3 linked regions of the Daphnia pulex genome follow. The protein of the gene in region 1 purifies or fractionates together with the protein of each later gene. This does not show direct contact. Links are inferred from orthologs where the notes say so. Each region holds a gene or a part of one and is shown on either strand. Other genes may lie near its edges. The genes, in order: UBX domain-containing protein 7-like, nuclear protein localization protein 4 homolog and cullin-2-like.

Evidence for each region.
Region 2: the proteins of UBX domain-containing protein 7-like (region 1) and nuclear protein localization protein 4 homolog purify together in Homo sapiens (affinity purification with mass spectrometry; 3 studies listed by BioGRID and IntAct, with this or other methods). This does not show direct contact. The link is inferred for Daphnia pulex from reciprocal best matches to the Homo sapiens genes UBXN7 and NPLOC4.
Region 3: the proteins of UBX domain-containing protein 7-like (region 1) and cullin-2-like purify together in Homo sapiens (affinity purification with mass spectrometry; 6 studies listed by BioGRID and IntAct, with this or other methods). This does not show direct contact. The link is inferred for Daphnia pulex from reciprocal best matches to the Homo sapiens genes UBXN7 and CUL2.

What each region holds. Positions count from the first base shown.
Region 1 is NC_060019.1:9,386,338-9,392,455, reverse strand, and holds UBX domain-containing protein 7-like, read right to left. Parts: upstream 4,184-6,118; 5' UTR 4,080-4,183; coding exon 3,932-4,079; intron 3,862-3,931; coding exon 3,598-3,861; intron 3,539-3,597; coding exon 3,402-3,538; intron 3,335-3,401; coding exon 3,188-3,334; intron 3,059-3,187; coding exon 2,831-3,058; intron 2,735-2,830; coding exon 2,372-2,734; intron 1,978-2,371; coding exon 1,819-1,977; 3' UTR 1,492-1,818; downstream 1-1,491. Other genes in the region: sodium-dependent noradrenaline transporter-like, read right to left, coding at 4,323-4,775, 4,841-4,941, 5,000-5,099, 5,179-5,310, 5,371-5,578, 5,649-5,752, 5,825-6,017, 6,090-6,118. UniProt on the Homo sapiens protein: Ubiquitin-binding adapter that links a subset of NEDD8-associated cullin ring ligases (CRLs) to the segregase VCP/p97, to regulate turnover of their ubiquitination substrates.
Region 2 is NC_060023.1:4,656,560-4,662,643, forward strand, and holds the start of nuclear protein localization protein 4 homolog, read left to right. Parts: upstream 1-2,552; 5' UTR 2,553-2,710; coding exon 2,711-2,713; intron 2,714-2,895; coding exon 2,896-2,976; intron 2,977-3,046; coding exon 3,047-3,399; intron 3,400-3,621; coding exon 3,622-3,883; intron 3,884-3,945; coding exon 3,946-4,055; intron 4,056-4,124; coding exon 4,125-4,194; intron 4,195-4,260; coding exon 4,261-4,549; intron 4,550-4,616; coding exon 4,617-4,777; intron 4,778-4,852; exon of another isoform or gene 4,853-5,788; coding exon of another isoform or gene 5,789-6,084. Other genes in the region: homeobox protein B-H2-like, read left to right, coding at 1-40, 108-1,150; uncharacterized protein LOC124198209, read right to left, coding at 5,789-6,084. UniProt on the Homo sapiens protein: The ternary complex containing UFD1, VCP and NPLOC4 binds ubiquitinated proteins and is necessary for the export of misfolded proteins from the ER to the cytoplasm, where they are degraded by the proteasome.
Region 3 is NC_060021.1:10,404,714-10,410,868, forward strand, and holds cullin-2-like, read right to left. Parts: upstream 3,443-6,155; 5' UTR 3,080-3,442; coding exon 2,760-3,079; intron 2,697-2,759; coding exon 2,587-2,696; intron 2,528-2,586; coding exon 2,287-2,527; intron 2,229-2,286; coding exon 1,982-2,228; intron 1,921-1,981; coding exon 787-1,920; intron 698-786; coding exon 503-697; 3' UTR 241-502; downstream 1-240. Other genes in the region: cell division control protein 6 homolog, read left to right, coding at 1-87; solute carrier family 25 member 46-like, read left to right, coding at 3,611-3,758, 3,830-3,939, 3,997-4,175, 4,311-4,367, 4,454-4,599, 4,662-4,798, 4,893-5,011, 5,076-5,436.

The sequences.
Region 1 (6,118 bases):
TAGGGTTTGGGCATGTGCAACGCACAGTTGTGTATGGGGTGGCTGGTCTTCGTCACGACTTTTGTTGTGATTAGCAAAATAAGGAAAATAAGAAAAAAGCTACGACCCTGGGGTTAGCACACATGTTTTTAGGAGTCTGGATGGATGTATAGGGACGAGGAAGGGGGAGGAAATAACAAATGGGCGCCGGCGCAGTTGGCGTCTAGAGCATCGCGCAGCCGCGACCTCTACTGGGCGCCAAAAATGAGTCAGCTTCAAAATGTTGCACTTTAGTCAGACTTTAGTCACTGGTTCTTTTTTTTTTTTCTTTGTCTGGCCGGAGAGCCCACATTTTAACTGGGACTGTCATCTTGTTGAATTCTGATTGCCAATGATATGATAATGTTTCACCTTCATGAAAACGTAGGTAGTGATGGATGAAAGAGAGTGAGACAGCGACAAGTACTGTCAACTTGTTGCATTGCCCACAGCCAAGGTTATGGTAATCTCAAACCCTGAGGAACGTGGGTTGTGATAGATGAATAAAGAATGAGACAACTATACCTTGAGTCATGGGTAGCTTGCATCAACGATGAGGTGAAACACAGTAGTTCATGGTAATAGCCAAGTATCGATTTCAAGCACTGAGAGCAAGTTGGGAGAGAGACTGTCCACTATCGTTTCCGATCACGGAATAACTGCCATCCACTAAGATTCTTGCCGACGTACACAGCAGACACACACACACACACAACACAACAACCTGGTATACTGGCCACTCTCACGAGACTGAAAACTCTCTCCTTTTTTCCCTCGCTCTTCCTGCCCGCTGGTCCACTGGTTTTGAAATCAAGTTAAAAGAGATATAAAAACTCGACTGGGAAAAAAACAGAAAACCTTTTTTCTAAAGAATGGGTATTAAGAACGGGCAGAACACACCACCAGCAAACGTCAATATTTTACTTCTTGTCGCCATTTTCAAAAAAAAAAAAACGGTCGCTCGCTGGGAAAACCGCAATAAGCCATCTGTCGGGCTCTTCTGGAGAGAACCGCGCCGAGAATGAAATGGGGGAGGGATTTAACGTCCCCGCCATCACCCCCCTAAGGGAATAAGGAAAAATAATATATACCTGATTGAATGAAAGTAAAGTTTTTTTTTCCAACACATTTCTTTTTTGCGGCTATTATTAATGTGTTTCTGGCTTCCTTTTTTTCCCATCCATTTATAATAAAGCAGAGGGGGTTGTTTTGTTCCACCACGAAGCGCCAATGTCCGACAATCGACGCGAGTCAATAAATTTACAACCATTGCCGAGGGACGCGGCCGTTTATTCCATCAAGAGATAATAACCGCCTTGCATGACTAACTTTGTATCTAAAGTTGCACACTGCGTGGAATTCGGAACCGAGAGAGAGAAATTGGAGACGCGCACGTTCCACTCGACGACACCTGAATGAGGCAGCACAAGCAAAACGCAATAATACCGAGTGCACATTAATCGAAAAGAATAGGGAAAAAAATGCAGTGTATTTATTTGAACGATTCCGGGCGCACGTTGATGGTCATGTAAAGCGCTTTTAATTAATAAGGTTTGAGATTTAAATTTGTGTTCTTCCATCTTGACCCTGTGACGAACACAACCTGGGTACACGAGGTAGACGAGCATTAATAAAATTAAGTTAAAAAGGAAGGAAAAAGGAAGAAACAGGAACAGCTCTGGGTGAGACAAAAAAGGATGAGACAATTGAGCTTGAGGCGCACGAATGTAATTTTGTAGTTTGGTGCACTGTCTTGTTTCTTTTCTCTTTTACACAGGACAAACATATTTTGTCTAGCTATTATCTAGCCTGAACAAATATGGTGTCGTGCGGGAAAAGACCAGCATCTTTAAGTGTCATTTCACTGTCCATTGTCAAGAGCAGTCGCTTCGGGAAGTTGGCCATCAGTTCGAATTTATCACGCGGAAATCCTTTGCGGGCTGCATACTTGACTACGGCCTGCAATAATTCAAGAGAGTTTAATTTTGAATAAACTAACGATTTTGAAAGTCTTTTTTCAAAAAGGCCAAATTTTGTTAACAAGCTTGCAAAGGGATAAAAGCGTCAATGTTGTTGCATTTGAGGTTAGCGAACAATGTGAAAGAAATGTTTTCAAGGTTTTCAAAAAAAGAAGAAGTTCAAGAATGCTGATTGAAAGATCCGATCCGGTAGGCTGATTCGCTACGAGCGACACAACAGTTTTATCGCAATAGAATAAACCCAAAAGCTTTTGATTTAGCCCAGGTATTTTCTTAACATGATAGTTAAAAGCTCATCATCCTTGAATCTTTTGTCAAAGTTTGTTTTTCAAAATGTACACAAAAAAACGTTCTGGTGGTCGCCATTTACTCACCATCAAAGTAGAAGTGCAAGGAAGTGCTTTTTGTTCCTTGGAACCGTCTGGAAAGCGAAAAACAATTGATGAGATTGGATCTGCTTCGGGACCCAAATGCCTTTCCCAGTCGTCATCTGCTGTTCCGGAGGCCTCGAGACGATTTCCCACCGGTTGTGGTGGCTCGGGTTCTGTTTTCCGTGGTTCGCTAGCTCGACTGTCGGATTCAGAGTCAAACCACTCGGTGGGTTGGTCCTCGTCTTCATCGCTTTGAAACTCGTCGTCCGATACAGGTGCCTTTTGATTTTGGGCTGTTGACGCAGCTAACGAAGCTCGGATGGCTGCTTGTAACTGATCATCTTCGCTTGCATCCAGAATAGTTTCCTTCAAAAAGAAAAAGTAGAGGAAATTATTATTATTACCCAATAAAGAAAACCTTCTCGAGACCAATACAGTAAAAAGTTTTAGGATTCTTATTACCACTCGTCTCTTCTTGGGATCTGATGGAGCGCAGGCACTTTTTTCCTCATCTCCCCATGAAGTAGTTGCCAAAAATTCAGCAATCAGCGTCTCATAGGCACTAGTTTCTGAATAATTCCATTCGACCATCAACTCTCCAGTTCTGGGATCCAAAACGGCAACATATGGCCATTGGTTAACCTTGTAGAAATTCATATATCGCTGACCCTCTTCGCTGTCCATATACAACTGAAATAAAATACACAAGTTATGCATGGAATTGCTTTGATAAGGAACAGCTTTGAGAATAGTTATTAACTAACCACCACGAATAAGAGAGTGTTTATGGTAGAAATAAATTGGCGCTGGCTATCTTACCTGGAGGAATAAGAAATTCTCTCGAACAAGGTTTTTGATTGACTTCTGAGACCAAACATCGCGATTTAATAATTGGCATCTGAATTCAGATATATTTTGAATGTTAACCATAATCCACTTTTTCACTGTCTTTCCTGTATCTCTTGCCTGTAACATTAAAATACAGTTTGATGAGTTAGAAACCTCTCTTTAGAGATTTAAAAAAAAAACTTGCATTGAGAAGGTTTCCATTGAACATCATATCTATAGGTGGCCGAAATAGCTCTTCTAAGGTTCTTTTTCCAGACATACTAGCTCCGGCAACTGGTGTTGCTAAGCCATTGGTTTCTCTTAATCTGGATTCTTGCAGTTCTATGAGTAAAATAGATAAATGTTTATGTTGGAACATTGGAAACATGCATAGATATTACTTGTTTCCACTTCAAAATTTCTGAAGGAATCAAACACTGATTTGACTATTCGCTTTTTCCCCTTGAAGCCAAATCCATAGCCTTCATATCCAGATTCTACCAAGACTTCCTGCTTTTGAGGAATTGGAGCCCGGACATATTCTTCTTCTTGAGCGCCTGATGGTTGTGGATTTTCTGAAAGTCCTTCCATATGCATGTCAACAGCTCTCTCCAGATTTCCCCTGCATGCTTCAATCAAGGTTCGTGCAACATCTTCTGTGCTACCTATTTTACAAGACATTAGTTTCAACATCACATGGCAAGGAGAATAAACTGATTAAGCTTGATTTTATACCTGTGACAGCACAAAACTGCTCTATCTGCTCTCTGGTTACTACACAAGATTTACTTTTAGACTTGGCACTTTTTTCACTCCCACTTTGAGATTTACTTCGACTAGATTTCGAAGATGAACCTCGTGAAGAATCGTCAGATAAATCCATTGCGAATATATTAAAATGATTAAGTTACGATTATTTTATTCTTAAACGCTGATTACGTGAGAGCTGTCTAGCAGCTCTACAGCCGAAAACAAAAAAATGTTTGAGCAACGCCATCTGATGATTGATCGGAAAAAGCGAAAATTTAAATTTGTATTTAGGGCGCGATATATTTTTTTTATCGGTATTTTACATTCATGATCTCAAGAAAGCATTTCAACAAAAACAAGTAGATGCAATTCTATATTATTCGATCGTGAGGCCATTTTCGTCATAGTGCCTTTCATAATGAGGCAATCGAACCATAGTTATACTACCCCGATGACTTTTAGGCATGGAATTCTGATCAAACAAAGAGATGTCTGTTTCAATTTTCTGTTCATCTTCCACTTTCAATCGGCGCGAAATTGTGTCCATAGAATAAGGAACTGGTCCAGATGGCGATTCTATAGATCTTTTCCAATGGAAATGAAGAAGGGGATCTATCGGACCCCAATGCCTATCAGCTTTCATCGAGTTGGTTAACTTTTTGATCAATTCATATTCAGTTTCCTGAACCACAGTCTTGATGGCGACAGCACAAGCTACAGCCAAAGCTAAGAGGTAAAAGGACCACCCAGTTGCCACCATCCAAATAGGATAAAGACAATCTGTAGTTCCATCTAATGGCACACCAAGGAATCCCCAGAGTTCTGCAATCTAAAATTTATCCGCCAATTATATAGGGTAATGTAAAGAGAATAATAGAACACAAAGTCACTTACGACGAGAACAATGATGGTGACATAACTCCAAGATACGTTCCAGAAAGAGTTTATAGATCGGTTAATCATGAATTCAAAATCCCGCTTCAAATTCTTCCCGCCTATTACAAATAAATGTTTCAAAATAATACCTTTAGGGGATACTTGCATTAATCTTACCATAGACCCACAGCCATCCAATTAGATGAATAATTAAACAGGTAAGTACAGTGCCTCCTGCAGCGTAATGATCCCACATCGTTACGACTTCATTTCCAGCCTTAGAAAGGGAAGATAAAATACTGTCAGTTACTACCATAAACACGGAGAGATAAATGACGTGAGAATAAATAAAGCACCGGAATGAGGCCAGGAATATTGATGAGCCAAACAGCGATGAATAGCAAGCAGTAAGTCAACTTTTGATAGCGTTGCTCGAGAACCGGGAAATTCTCATAAAGATTTTGAATAATGGCGTACATAAGAGGCAGCTATAAATCGAAAACAATATATATTTACACGTCATAGTAACAATTTGATTTCTCTTTTACCATGCTGTTCAATCCAGAAAGAAAGATTAGTCCAAAAGCAAGACCGGCCCATAGCGAATTACAAATGTTATAGTAGATAAAGTAGATGAAGGCATTCGGTTGGACTACATCCTTAGCATGTAGACCCGAAATACCAATCCAAGCGAATGTGGTAATTACGGAAAGTACAGCAAAGAGTATGTTAATAAGCCAAATTAAAATGCCATCTCTAAGTTGTAGAAAGAAGGTTTAGAGTTACCATTAACTCATCAAAAAGACAAAGTTTCAAAAGCAAATACCTGATAGTATTTCGACTGAAATAGGTAGAAGATGACAGAGAAGGAAGCGTACCAAAACCGATTGCCAATGAAAATATGACCTGTACCATAGCGCCGTACCAGACCTTAAAAAGAAAACCATCAAAAGAAAGTCATAAAATAAAGAATTTTATGGGTTTAGTGATGCTGCGTAGTACTTCTCCGCGTCCAAATCCCCATGGCTCAGTAGGGGCAAGTAAGTTAATGCCTATCTGTGCTGTATTGTTTGAATTCGTTTGGGAATTGTTTGGATGAGATAAAGCTAAAGCAAGCGCAACGCTGAGTAGAATAGCGCAGATGACGCCGGACAGCGTTAGGATGATTTTCATTACTTTGGCTCCGAAAGATATACTTTACGTTAACAAAAGGTTATGTTATCCCAACTTTCTATTTAAAAAAAATGGGTCGTATAAAATTACTCACCATAGGGCAACGAGTATCAAGACCGCTGC
Region 2 (6,084 bases), on another chromosome or scaffold:
GACTTTTCGTCGCTGTGGAAATGGGACAAAGCCGCAACACGTAAGGCTAATTGATTGTTTGTCATACGACCGACCGAGTGATGGCTAATGGATTTCTTGTTTAATAGTAGAGAAACCAGCAGTGATGTGTGATCAGTGTGTGACCAACAACGTCAAAAAGGCCCTGAAAGCGGAGCACACGAACCGACTGAAGACTGCTTTCGTGCGAGCTTTGCAGCAGGAGCAGGAAATCGAACAACGTCTGGCGCAAGGTGGCAACATCAGTCCGCCTATTCCTCCACATCATCCGATGCCAGCTCCGTCCCACGCCAGCGCCAGCGTCCATTCCAAAGCGTATGACTCGCTACCGGCCTCTACTCAAATTATCCCCTTCTCCACAAAGTCCATCAACAGTGGAACGCCAGCTCCCGCTCACAGCCCATTAGTCGGATCACACTCGGCCGTGAGCTTGAGCATAGCCGTTGGCAAGGATCGAATGGAGCGAGAGCGCGACAGAGAGCGCGAGAGGGAGCGTGAAAGGGAACGAGAAATTCGTGAACATCGTGAAAGGGAACGCGAGAGAGAAAGGGATCGTGAAAGGGAAAGAGAACGGGAGCGTGAACGAAACGAGAACCGCGAACGTGAAAAGGAGAGACAGGCGAACGCAGCGGCGGCCGCTGCTGCCGCCGCCGCCGCATCGGCTAGCTTCGATTTCTCGAAAATGCCCGACCCGACCAAGCTCTTTGGTCACCAAATGTCTGCAATGCAAAATGCTCTGCAAGCCCAGCTGCTGAGAGGCATGGGATTGCCTTCGGGATCGGCGTCCATGTCGAGTCACGCTCACAACCCTCTCATGAATCCCTTCTCTTCACTGCTGTACCCTTATCAGCTGGCCATGGCCGCTTCGGCTGCTCAAGCAGCAGCTCAGGGCAGAGGCAATAGCGGCGGTGGTGGATCCGGAGGAGCTGGAGGCAGCGGAAACAGCAGTCGAGACAATAGCGCCGCTGCCTTTACCGCCGCCAGTTTGGCCGAACTGCAACGGCAATATCTGCTGGACATGCTCCCACACCTGCCCAACATGGCCGCTGCCGCCGCCAGCAGTGCCGGCTCCCGCTCGTCACAGGGCCAAAGCCAGGGTCATGGCGATGGTCGTCAAAATTGGAAATCTTGAGCAAGTAGACATCCCCCTCAAAATGTGTCTTTGTGTTGTCAACTCCGCTCTGATGGGCATTTGCATCCGCCGGCAGCAGCTGACTTGCCTGAGCCAAGACGTTCTTTTTTTTTCTTTATTATTAATAATTATTTTCAATATTTCTTGCGGTCTCGTTATGAATATTCACCTCTCCCCATTTCTCTGTTGACTTTCGATTTAATAAGCGAACTGGTTCCATGCGTATGTCAAATCACTAACGATTAACTAAAAACAAAAAGGGAGGCTGTTCGAGATCTCACGATCGTCTTTGCTTCATTCAGTTTAGTGAACCAGTAAGAAATTTTGTCTCGATTTTCCATCGTGGTTCATCACACTCCAGGCAGGGTACGACTGTCGTTACGTGCGCCCTGATTTGCCTTATGAACTCAAGCTAAAAAGACACCCAACAACCACGACAAATCCATATTTGATATAGGACAAATGCAGCGATGTTATCTTTTGTTTCTTATTATTAGAGAGGTAGCAAAGCGTAGAACTGCAGTGACACAGAAGGGACTCATCAGCACATATTCTCTGTGATGGGCCGGATGCTGGAACGCTCAAATGTTGCATGTGGAATATTATGACATATAACCCTCCCCCCTCCTCCTGAAAGGCAAATTTGGCCATGTACTGCTTTTCATCCTCTATACTGTTGTTTAGATGCACTGACTCGTGATTTTTTCAAAACTTCATCTGGCGAGTGCACCTTCTCTTGTTGCAGATCTGATCATCAGCACAACCCTACCCTCCTGACATGAATTTTCCCCCACCCCGTTTTCCTATAATTTCCATGTGTCTTTACTTCCCTCTTTGTTTCTCGTGATCTATTAAACTTACGTCAAGACAACGGACATGACTGTCTCATTTGGCATGGTGATGAAAATGCGGGATTGCAGGCTGACATTCTGGTATCCTCGAGTGTATGTGTGTTTGTATCTGTCTTGAGAGAAGTGAACAAGAAACGTGTTTCCCAATCGTTTTACTTATCTTGAATCAAGTCTTTATATAATTAATCGGATACCTATACATAGCTAGTTATCAGTATACAAAGTAATCCTTCAAGTGGGTAGTGTGATGAAGTATAAATCTGCGAGATATAAACTTTCTATTAGCTTTAGTTTAATTGCGTACTCAAATTTATGAATTATTTGGTTCGTTTTATCACTTCTTTTTCTTCGAGTTTCCGTAGACTTCAACCAATGTTATAAGGTGCCTAATATATAATAAACAAAGAACATTTTGTTTAATTTGAAATGATTTTAAATGTAAATAAAACTTGATTAACGAAAGATTACAATTTTTGAAAATTCTTTTTTATTTAATTTTTTTCAAAATTGTGAAATTTCTTTCGCCATCTAGCGTTCGTACTCAACGACGTTTCACATAACAGAACGTATCGAGTACTCAAAGTTGACTGAAAGTTGATTTGATCGAGTAAACGAAAACATCCGCTGCGGTCTTTTGTCGTTAAATCTTCTGGACAATCAACCTGAACTTATCGGTCCGCAGTTACCAAATTATATTAAAAAACTGAAGATGGTATACGTTTGTTATTTGTTATCAATATCACATTTTTTTGGAATGCTCATAAATTTTGCTTTATCTTGAAACGTTCGTTTTTATTGTTGCCTATTGTCTTTACATGGGACGTTTTCATACGTGATATGATGAAATTTTTCAAAATATAGAACCATATTAATTGCAACAAATATTTCCTATAGATGTTGAGAGTTCAATCTCCAGAAGGTACTCGGCGTGTGGATGTTGACAATGTCACCGTAACCAGGGAACTGTTTGAAAAGGTATAGAAGAATTGACCCCATAATTAATACAATGCAAAACCCACAAATAATTTTGTAATTTTTTTCTTAGGTCCTCAATACCTTTGGAAATATAGGTTATTCTTTTGCCTTGTACTGCAAACGTGATAAATCTCAAGAAATTGTTTCATCGAATGCAAAGACTATGGCAAGTTATGGGCTTCAGCATGGTGATATGATATACTTGTCACCTATTGCTGGTGCAGTTCAGCACGGTGAACAGGATGCTTCTGTGCTTAAAGTAAAAAATGGAGTGAGCACTGCTTCATCGACAACCTTCCTTCCATCAACTAGTAGCATGCATGGATCCAAAATACCTATTCGATCTAATGTAGAGGAAGATCAAGTTGATGTAATTCTACAGAAAATGGATGGAACTGTCAAGAGAAAACGTGATCCCAAAAAGTGAGTTTTTACAGTGCACGTATTGGACTAATATTGTAATCAGTTGTGTTCTAATTTTATTTGAAAGCTTCCTTAGAATAAGCAATAGTCTAATATAATGTAATCTAAATTATGCAGAGACATTGTGGCTAATATGTAAGGATTATAGTAAAAAGCGGTGTATTATAAAATAACCGATATTCATCCGACATGAAAAATAACAGCATTTATTTTTAATGATAGTTGTCTCCATGGAGAAAATTCGTCTTGCATTCATTGTCTACCATTGGAACCATACGACGCTTCGTACCTAAAGGAGCTGAACGTCAAACATATGTCGTTTCACGCTTACTTACGGAAACTGTCTAGTGGGTTAGACGGAGGAAAATATGCTAATTTGGATAACATAAGTTGTCGGATTAAACCTGGTTGCACTGGTCATCCGCCATGGCCCAAAGGTGTGTGCTCTAAATGCCAACCGAAAGCCATTACTCTGAACAGTCAAGTAATATTCCATTTGCCGCTCCAACATGTAAACCATATTAATCTTTGTTTCAAATCCTACAGGCTTACAGACACGTTGACAACGTTGTCTTTGAAAATCCAAACCTAGTCGAACAATTTCTTCATTACTGGCGTGTAACCGGGCGACAGCGAATCGGATTCCTCTATGGAAGGTAAAAATGAAATTCGAAGTTGATCAATTTATTTCTCCAAAATCAAACTAAAATGTTCAATTCTACCAGATTTGACATTCATTTGGATGTGCCACTTGGAATCAAAGGAATAGTCGCAGCAATTTATGAGCCTCCACAGGTACGTCAAGTATTCACATCCGAAACATGTAAAGAATGTAATCTGATGGAATGGATTAATTTTTAGGAATCGACACGTGATTCTGTTCGCTTGCTGCTTCCGGACAACCGGCAATCTGTTGTCGACCGTGTGGCTGCCAAGCTTGGACTTCAGTGTATTGGATGGATTTTTACCGACTTGGTGGCAGAAGATGTGTCCAAAGGAACTGTTCGCCATTTCCGCAATGCAGAAACGCACTTTCTCTCTGCGCAAGAATGCATCATGGCTGGCCATTTCCAGTCACTTCATCCGAACCCATGCCGCTTGTCGTCTGATGGCTACTTTGGCTCTAAATTCGTCACTGTTTGTGTTACCGGTAAACATTTGCTAAAAATTTAATTCAAACTAATCGGAAACTTACAACGGACATAATCTGTTTGCAGGTGACTCGCAGAATCAGGTGCACATGGAAGGTTATCAGGTTTCCAATCAATGCCAAGCCTTAGTTCGAGATGAGTGCTTAGTGCCTACCAAAGACGCTCCAGAGTTAGCATACGCCCGCCAGTCTACAGCCGAAAAGTACATCCCAGATGTTTACTATAAGGTCAGTGCTTTTAATTATTATTATTTTATTTTTATTTTTTTAGTATTTATCCGAAAAGAATGCGAGCAAAAGGAGTAGGGTCGACAGCGATCGTTACGTGTATTTCAGCGTTCAGGTTTCCCTTTCAAATTCCACTGTGGATGGAGTGTTTTTTTTTTTTTCTTTTTTACTCTTTAGTTTACAGGTATTAGAAGAATTAGGAAGGAGCTAGAGAAAGTTTTAGTCCGTAACAACCACGATAAACTCGAGACATTAATAAATTCCGATACGCCGAAAAAGAGGGAAGGGGTAAAGGTAACAAGCCGAGGAAGGTGCGACATAAGCGAAAACCAAAAGGCACTCCGTATTTTTCCCGACACATACGCGCACACGCACACACTGACAGACTAGACATGTCGACGTGTTGTAACAACCTAAAAAATTCGTTGGACAAAAAAAAAGTAGCATTTTTTTTTTTTTTGCCTTCCACACGATGTTAATAAAGACTAAATGAAATATTTTTTTTTTCAACGTTTACGCCAAAAACACAAAACGTAGGCACCATAACACAACGGTGGAGGGGGGCGGGAGCTAAAGTTTGGTAGAGGAGGAAAAAAAAAAGTGGGACAATTTTTCAAATGCTTGATCCGAACTTCACGAATGGGGGCGACGAAATGTAGCGGAAATAGAAAGAGGGTAATAATAACTAAATCGACGACAGAAAAAAAAGAAGTACGACAAAGAAATAACAACAATTCTTGCTATTTACCAAACAACATGTGGCAGTATTGAAACTGGGCGATGCAATAATTTGTATCGGTCGTCAAAAGAAAAGGGTCAGATGTAGAGCCAAGTTGTTACATTTCACTACGTGAAAAAAAAACTCGTTGCTTTCGAAGGGTTAGGAGAAAAATATTAGGTTCTTTCGGGTGCATCCCGATGCCTCTTGCATTTTTTTCTTTTTTGTTGTTGTTGTTGTTTTTTTTTGAGAAGAAAAGCAGCAAACACAGAAAAGTCGCGAAACGTTGTCTTCTAACTGAGCAATCCACAATTGGCCACGGTGATGAGTTTGCGAGGGAAGCCTTGATGATCGCCCAGAAAAGAAACGCGTTCCACCAATTCCAATCCGTGGATGACGTGGCCAAAGACACCAGTGAAGAAGGGCATGTCTCGAAGTAGAATACGGAATTGGGATCCCACTAGCCCTTGGCTGTGATGCTTTTTTTGCGTTCGTCTCATGCCGATCGCCGCTCGAATGCAGGGCAGCTTGCTGTCGTCGGGCATGAAGAAGGGTTCTTCCGCGTAGATGGATCGTCCCCCACGCCCGG
Region 3 (6,155 bases), on another chromosome or scaffold:
CGGCTTGACGAGCGTGAAGTGGAATCCACACTTAAGGACAAGACTCTCTTATCATCAATTCTCGCTCAAGGATCTTTATTCGTTTAATTTGTCTGTAATATCAATCACGTGTCCGCCAAACTTTACAAGTAGTGTAGTATCTGAGACTATTTTAAAGCTGTTTAACTTTACCTATAATACAATTTCTTGCCTATAACAGTGCATTTTATCTTTTAAAAATCTTTTCCGTAGTTGCCAACATTTATTTTGTATGCTTTGTATTTCTAATACTGCACTTTAAACGATGTTCAAAGTGTGTAAGTAAGAATTTCTAAGTTCACACAGCAAGGAAAAACCGATGAAAAATATCAAATGGAAAAATTATTCATGTACAATATGAGAAATACCCCAAAGGCCCAACAATCCCTTACCATCTCGACGCGGTTTTCTTTTCAACAATTTCAAAAATTCACGCCAAAGTATTACAGCATGATATTGCGAACTAACGTTGAGATTGCATTTTCTATGCCACATAGCTATATTCGTCCGTTGAATTAGGGGTACGCTCCAGGTACTGCTTGTCAATCAATGTCTCAATGCACTTTTTTATCATGCAAATGGGAGGAGCAAATCGGGGTTGGGACTGGCTCAACACCTCCTGAATTAAGACCATGTGGCGAAGAATCTTCCTAGATTTCATGATTCGAACGATTGTAGCCTTGGAAAGCCAAATGAAAAAAAAAAAAAAACTTTAGTTTGTTTTCGGATTTCTAACGCATTACGCTAAAATATTCGTATAATTCTTACCTGAAGGTACATTTTCCTGTCTTCGTTTACAGAAGAATGCGTCGTCTCGGTTTCTTGGACAGTCTCCTTTTGGATAGTGTTGTTAATACGAAACTTGGTTCGTTTGTTACTATAATCCATATTGAGGGAAATGACTGTAGATGGTTGGAAAACTTCGACAGTGTCACTAGTTACTGCCAAAAGCTTTGAGTCGACTAAGCTCTGAAGGACCTTTTGGAATTGATCCGAGTTAAGCTTCGTGGCTTCCATGAGTTCTCCACAAGTCACGGAATTGGTCTTTTGAAAGACAAGAAGCATTGCCATTTGGAAGGTTCCCATGGTGATGAAGTAACGCTTTTTCAAGTAGTTCAGTTTCAGCTCTCCGTAACTCAAGTGATGTAGCCATGCAAGCTTCCGGCCGTTAAACTGTAGACGATAGAAATCTTCAAATTCTTGGACCGATTTTTCCAACTCTTGGGGTACGGCGAAATCGGTAGGGCAGACTTGTCTAGGCCACGCACCGGTTTGCAAGACATAGATGGAGAAGTTGAGACCTAATTCAATCATCCGATCTTTGTTCAGCAGATTAAACTTGTTGTTCAGGTCTGATGAGACGGACATGTCCGTGAACATTCGATGAAGTTTGTTGGTAAACTCATATCCGCATGCCTGTTTCAATCGGTTGATCATTGCCTCTTCAGCGTCCATACTTTGACTCTGTTGTGAAATCAATCGATGTGCCAACTTCCGTGAGTAAAAAGCTTGATAAACATCCTTGTCGTCGATGTACTTGAATACAGTAATGCACTGTGTTAACTTATCGTCAACTTCGGTGTCACTACCGCCTTTTGTTGACTTCTTCAAGAGAGTATCACAATACTTGGCAAGTAGTTCTGGAGACCTACAATTTTGTTTAGTATTGAAGCGATGGTTGACGACTGCAGCACAGGCCATATCTAGAGCGCTGCTAAATAGCTGATCATTACTGAAAACAGTGTTGGTGATCTCCTTGTACTTGGAGTGGACACTAAGCATGCCCTCTACAAACTGGGCAGCAATGTTGTCTCCTGACAGGTTAGTCACTGTTCGCAATCCTTGTTGTTTGATGTGTTCCATGACGTGCGACACCAGAACAGTCAAACCTCCCGGAATCGACTGAACAAATTTTAGAAAACAATTAAAATTTATACTACGAGGCAATAAGATAAGCTCTCACCTTCAACAACGCGTACGCATTTCGAAGATCTTGTTGGAGTTCTTGTTGAACCATTGTCGGGCACTCGTTGTGGATAGCCGCCAAGTGATCTGCTACCATTCGTTTTTCGCATTCAGTTCGAACTTTACTGTAAGAGCTTGGGTGCAGGAATTTCCGACTACGTAAATCTTCTTCGTCCCGACGTTGCAAAACTTTTTCCATATACAAGGAAATTGTGCATTCCTGTAACAAGCGACTAGCTTCTTGCCTAAATTTGACCAAACAACTGTAATATGCAAATTTTTAACATTTTAATTATTTCTTACTTGTAGTATTCACCGGTCGCTTCAAGAAATGGCCCTTCAAAAACAGCCTCATAAAGTTCGAGGGTGTTCTTCTTCTTGTATTCCTCGACTGAAACAAACGACTGAATCACACCCTGAATTGTTGATGACTTTTCATTATACAAAGATTGTCCAGTTCGGTCACAATGTATGCCTCCCAAAAGTAATCTCAGCAAGTCGGCTTTCAATGGCTCTATCATATACTTCTTCCACAAATCCAAACCTAGCAAGCAAGTTTCGATAAGGATTCAGTACACCAAAAAAATTACAAATAGTGATTACCCAATTCTCCGATTTCTTTCATTTGTTCAGGTGATTCATAAGACAATGTCCCATAAAGAAGCTCGGCATCAGATGCTTTTTGTTTCTTGATGTGTTGGGTATTAAGGTATCTGTATTTGAATTAAAAGCATGTATTAACTTGTTTTATTAGAGAAAAGAAATGAATAAATTACGAGTAAAGTTTGTGCAAATAGTCCATTCCTTGGCTATATTGCTGCCAAAGTGTGTAATACACAGTCAGAAGCTGTTCTTCACTGGTGCCGTTCACTTGGATGAAAAGAGATTTAACATGCTCCTCCAAAAACTTTTTAGTTTCTTGGTACAATTTCTCAGCTAAAGGTTCTGGGTAAGCCACGCAGAGGGAATACACATCACTGAATCGATTGTACCATATAGTATGAGGAACATTTCCCAGAGTTACAACACCTTTAACTGTTTCCTTTAAATCAGCCCAAGTTGTGGTAAAGTCTACACGCTTCGGTTTAAGAGACATTTTGTGCAGTTATTAGAACAGCTGAATCAAAGTCCAAAAAGTGGATCATAGGAATTTTACAAAAAAAGCCAGAGTCCCTATTTCCAAGTTCAACGGGAGAAAACCAAAACTGATCTTCGTACAAACGATCATGCAATGACTACTGGCAATAGCAATGAAAAGACCTTAAGTTATTTACTTGTTTTTCGTATCGTAAATGAAGGACAAAGTTTCAGATTCCTTGAATAATCAATTTACTCGAGAATCTTAAGACCCTGGGGTTAAATAAGAATACAATTGGTTTCACAGAACAAGGATTCTGAAGATTAATAAAACGATTGCGCAGTGTGGGTTCGTCTGCTCTGGCCCCTTTGGCCTTCGCGAAGAAACGGAAAAGTTGTTTAGTTTATCATCAGATGGCAGCTCATTATTAGTAGTTATTCGTCTGCTGCGTATCACGAAAGAAAAAGTTAACCATAATACGAAAATAGTTTGTTTTTTTTTTACTTGGAATTCATAAACATTAATATCAAATCAAGTGTACAGGTTAGTATGGCTGGAACTGAGGACTACTCGTTCTATTACAGTTTAGAAAATTCTCCCTTTTGGATAAAAAAAGCTGATTCTGCTGCTTCTGCAGTAACTGATGGTAGGATACAACATGAAAACAAAGCTATTACGTCGCCGAAATATAGATATGGTATTAACAGTGACTTTTATCATCACACATTTTTTTGCAATGACTTTACATAATTTTTATTTTCTTGTAAGATGATATGATTGATGCAAGTAGAATCCCAAATCCCAGTTTTGGTATTATGAGACTAGCAGCTGAAAATCTACTATGCCATCCATTTTTAGTTCTGCGAAGACAGTGTCAGGTGAAAAATTCTTTACGTTAATTTGATAGTAAATTTTTTAATACTGCTTATCTGTAGGTTAATGTATTTTCTAGAAAATACCATACACTACCTTTCAGCTTGGTCCCAGTAGTCATTAGGCTACACCAAAGACAAAGCATGACTGTGTTATGGAAAGGAATTGGCAGTGCTTTAATTGTGAGAGGTCTCACATTAGCCATTGAGGATGTACTGAGCAAGATAACACCATGGCCAAAGTAATTTAGCATATAAAGTGGCAAATGTTGCCATGTAAGCTGTCCTCTTGTGTTCATTGAAATAGCCAGTGTGTGTTTATATTTAGACTGACAGAATATTCACTTGTTTTTGTTTTTTTTTTCTTTTTTTTTTAGAGAAATTGATCGTAACAGCTCATTGAAAGCAATTGGACACCACATCCTCTTGAAAAGGTATCACAAAAACACATTGAAATTGTCATACGACAATTATTAGCAGATATCTAAAGAATTTTTAAATCTATTTTTTGGTTCCCTAGCGTTTCCCTAGCTGTCGTGATCCCATTTTATGCAGCAAGTGTTGTAGAAACTGTTCAATCTGATATTGCAAGTGAAAAGCCGGGTATCTTTGATGTTTTTCAAGAAGGGATTTATAGGTTCTTAAGCTGGTCTGCCCCCCAAACAGGTAAAACATTTTTCCAAAATATTTACTAGGATTCTCTATTGCATCATTTAAAATATTTTTAGGTCGATTGTTACCAATATGGATTATTTTGTGCCCTGCTGTTTTATGTGGGACGGTTCATTACATCGTCTCAGTGCTTTCAGCGGGATTGACTCGCTGGGGAATGACCTCAGCTAAAAAACGAAGCCAGCGTAAACAGGTAGGTTTTTGTAGTAACTGTTGATTTAACTCTGATATTTTCAATACGCTCGGAATTTTCTATATTGAAATAATTAATATTCACTTGATTTCAGGGTGCCCTTTCTAAAGAAGTGAGTTTCGTCGAAGCAAACGATCTTGACTTGTCTTCAAGATTTGCTGGGTCGTTAGTGGCGGACGTATTACTCTTTCCCTTCGAGACAGTTCTCCATAGGTACGATTATTTTCATTTTTTGAATTTAAATAATAAACTTAAACGCCTTCTGAATTTTCAACAGGCTGCATATTCAAGGAACACGTACTATTATCGATAATTTGGACACCGGTGCATCTGTTATACCAATTCTAACACGTTATGATGGCTTTTTCGACTGCTGGAATACAATTACCCGCGAAGAAGGGAGGTGGGGTCTGTACAAAGGGTTGGGGGCGTTAGTTTTGCAATACGCTCTCCAGCTTAGCATAATTAAAGGCTCATTATTCACCTTTTACCATATGGGAGACTTATTTAAGCCAAACGCTGGCATCCAGCCTGTTTCACCGAGAAATCAAACTGTCTTATCCGATCGTCAAGACAGAAGTCCGAAAGCTTCGCCCGAGCTTCCAAGAGGCTATCCGCTGCATCAACAATTTAATTAGTGATAACTAATCTAGTCTAATCAACTGTTGTATATATTTAACAGAACCTTTGGGGGAAAAGCAAAACTCAAACCTGCAGTAGAAATCTATTTAGTTTGTTAAACGGTGAATTTTGGAAATAAATGCTATTATAAGACTGATGGTCTGTGACTTCCTTGTAAATCTGTTATTATTAGTAGCACTAAATCTTTGCCAACATTTTAAATCGAACGTTTGAACCCCATCACCGTGTTAGAATACACGGTCGTGAACAGTTTTTATGCATCCGGTCATTTCGTATGCTGCGGCACGTACAGCTCCGTTAATGCTTTTTGTTAGTGAAGAAGCTGCAGGGCATAGATTTGAAATATGATTCCGCAAAGGGTGGAGGGACGTTAAGAGAGAAAAGAAACACCTGTCAAAGGAAATGGAATGCCTGTTAAGGGTTAGATCGTTAGATGCTGTGAAACGTCCATGGAGAAGTGAACGAAATGCACCTAATAGAACTTCGACGGCCGAACTTTCCACTATTCAGATTCTAAAGAGTTTATTCCAACTCTTGGCTTCCAAGAGGGCATAGATTTTCTGGAGTGTGTTATTTATAGTTATAGGACCATTTTGTTTAAATTCTAATCGATATCTTAAGTATTGCTAATTAGACGATAATAGTGTCGTCTGCTTGCTTTCGTTTTCATTTGCAAGTATGCAAGCATGGTGATGCTAGTTTCGAAAAAGAGACT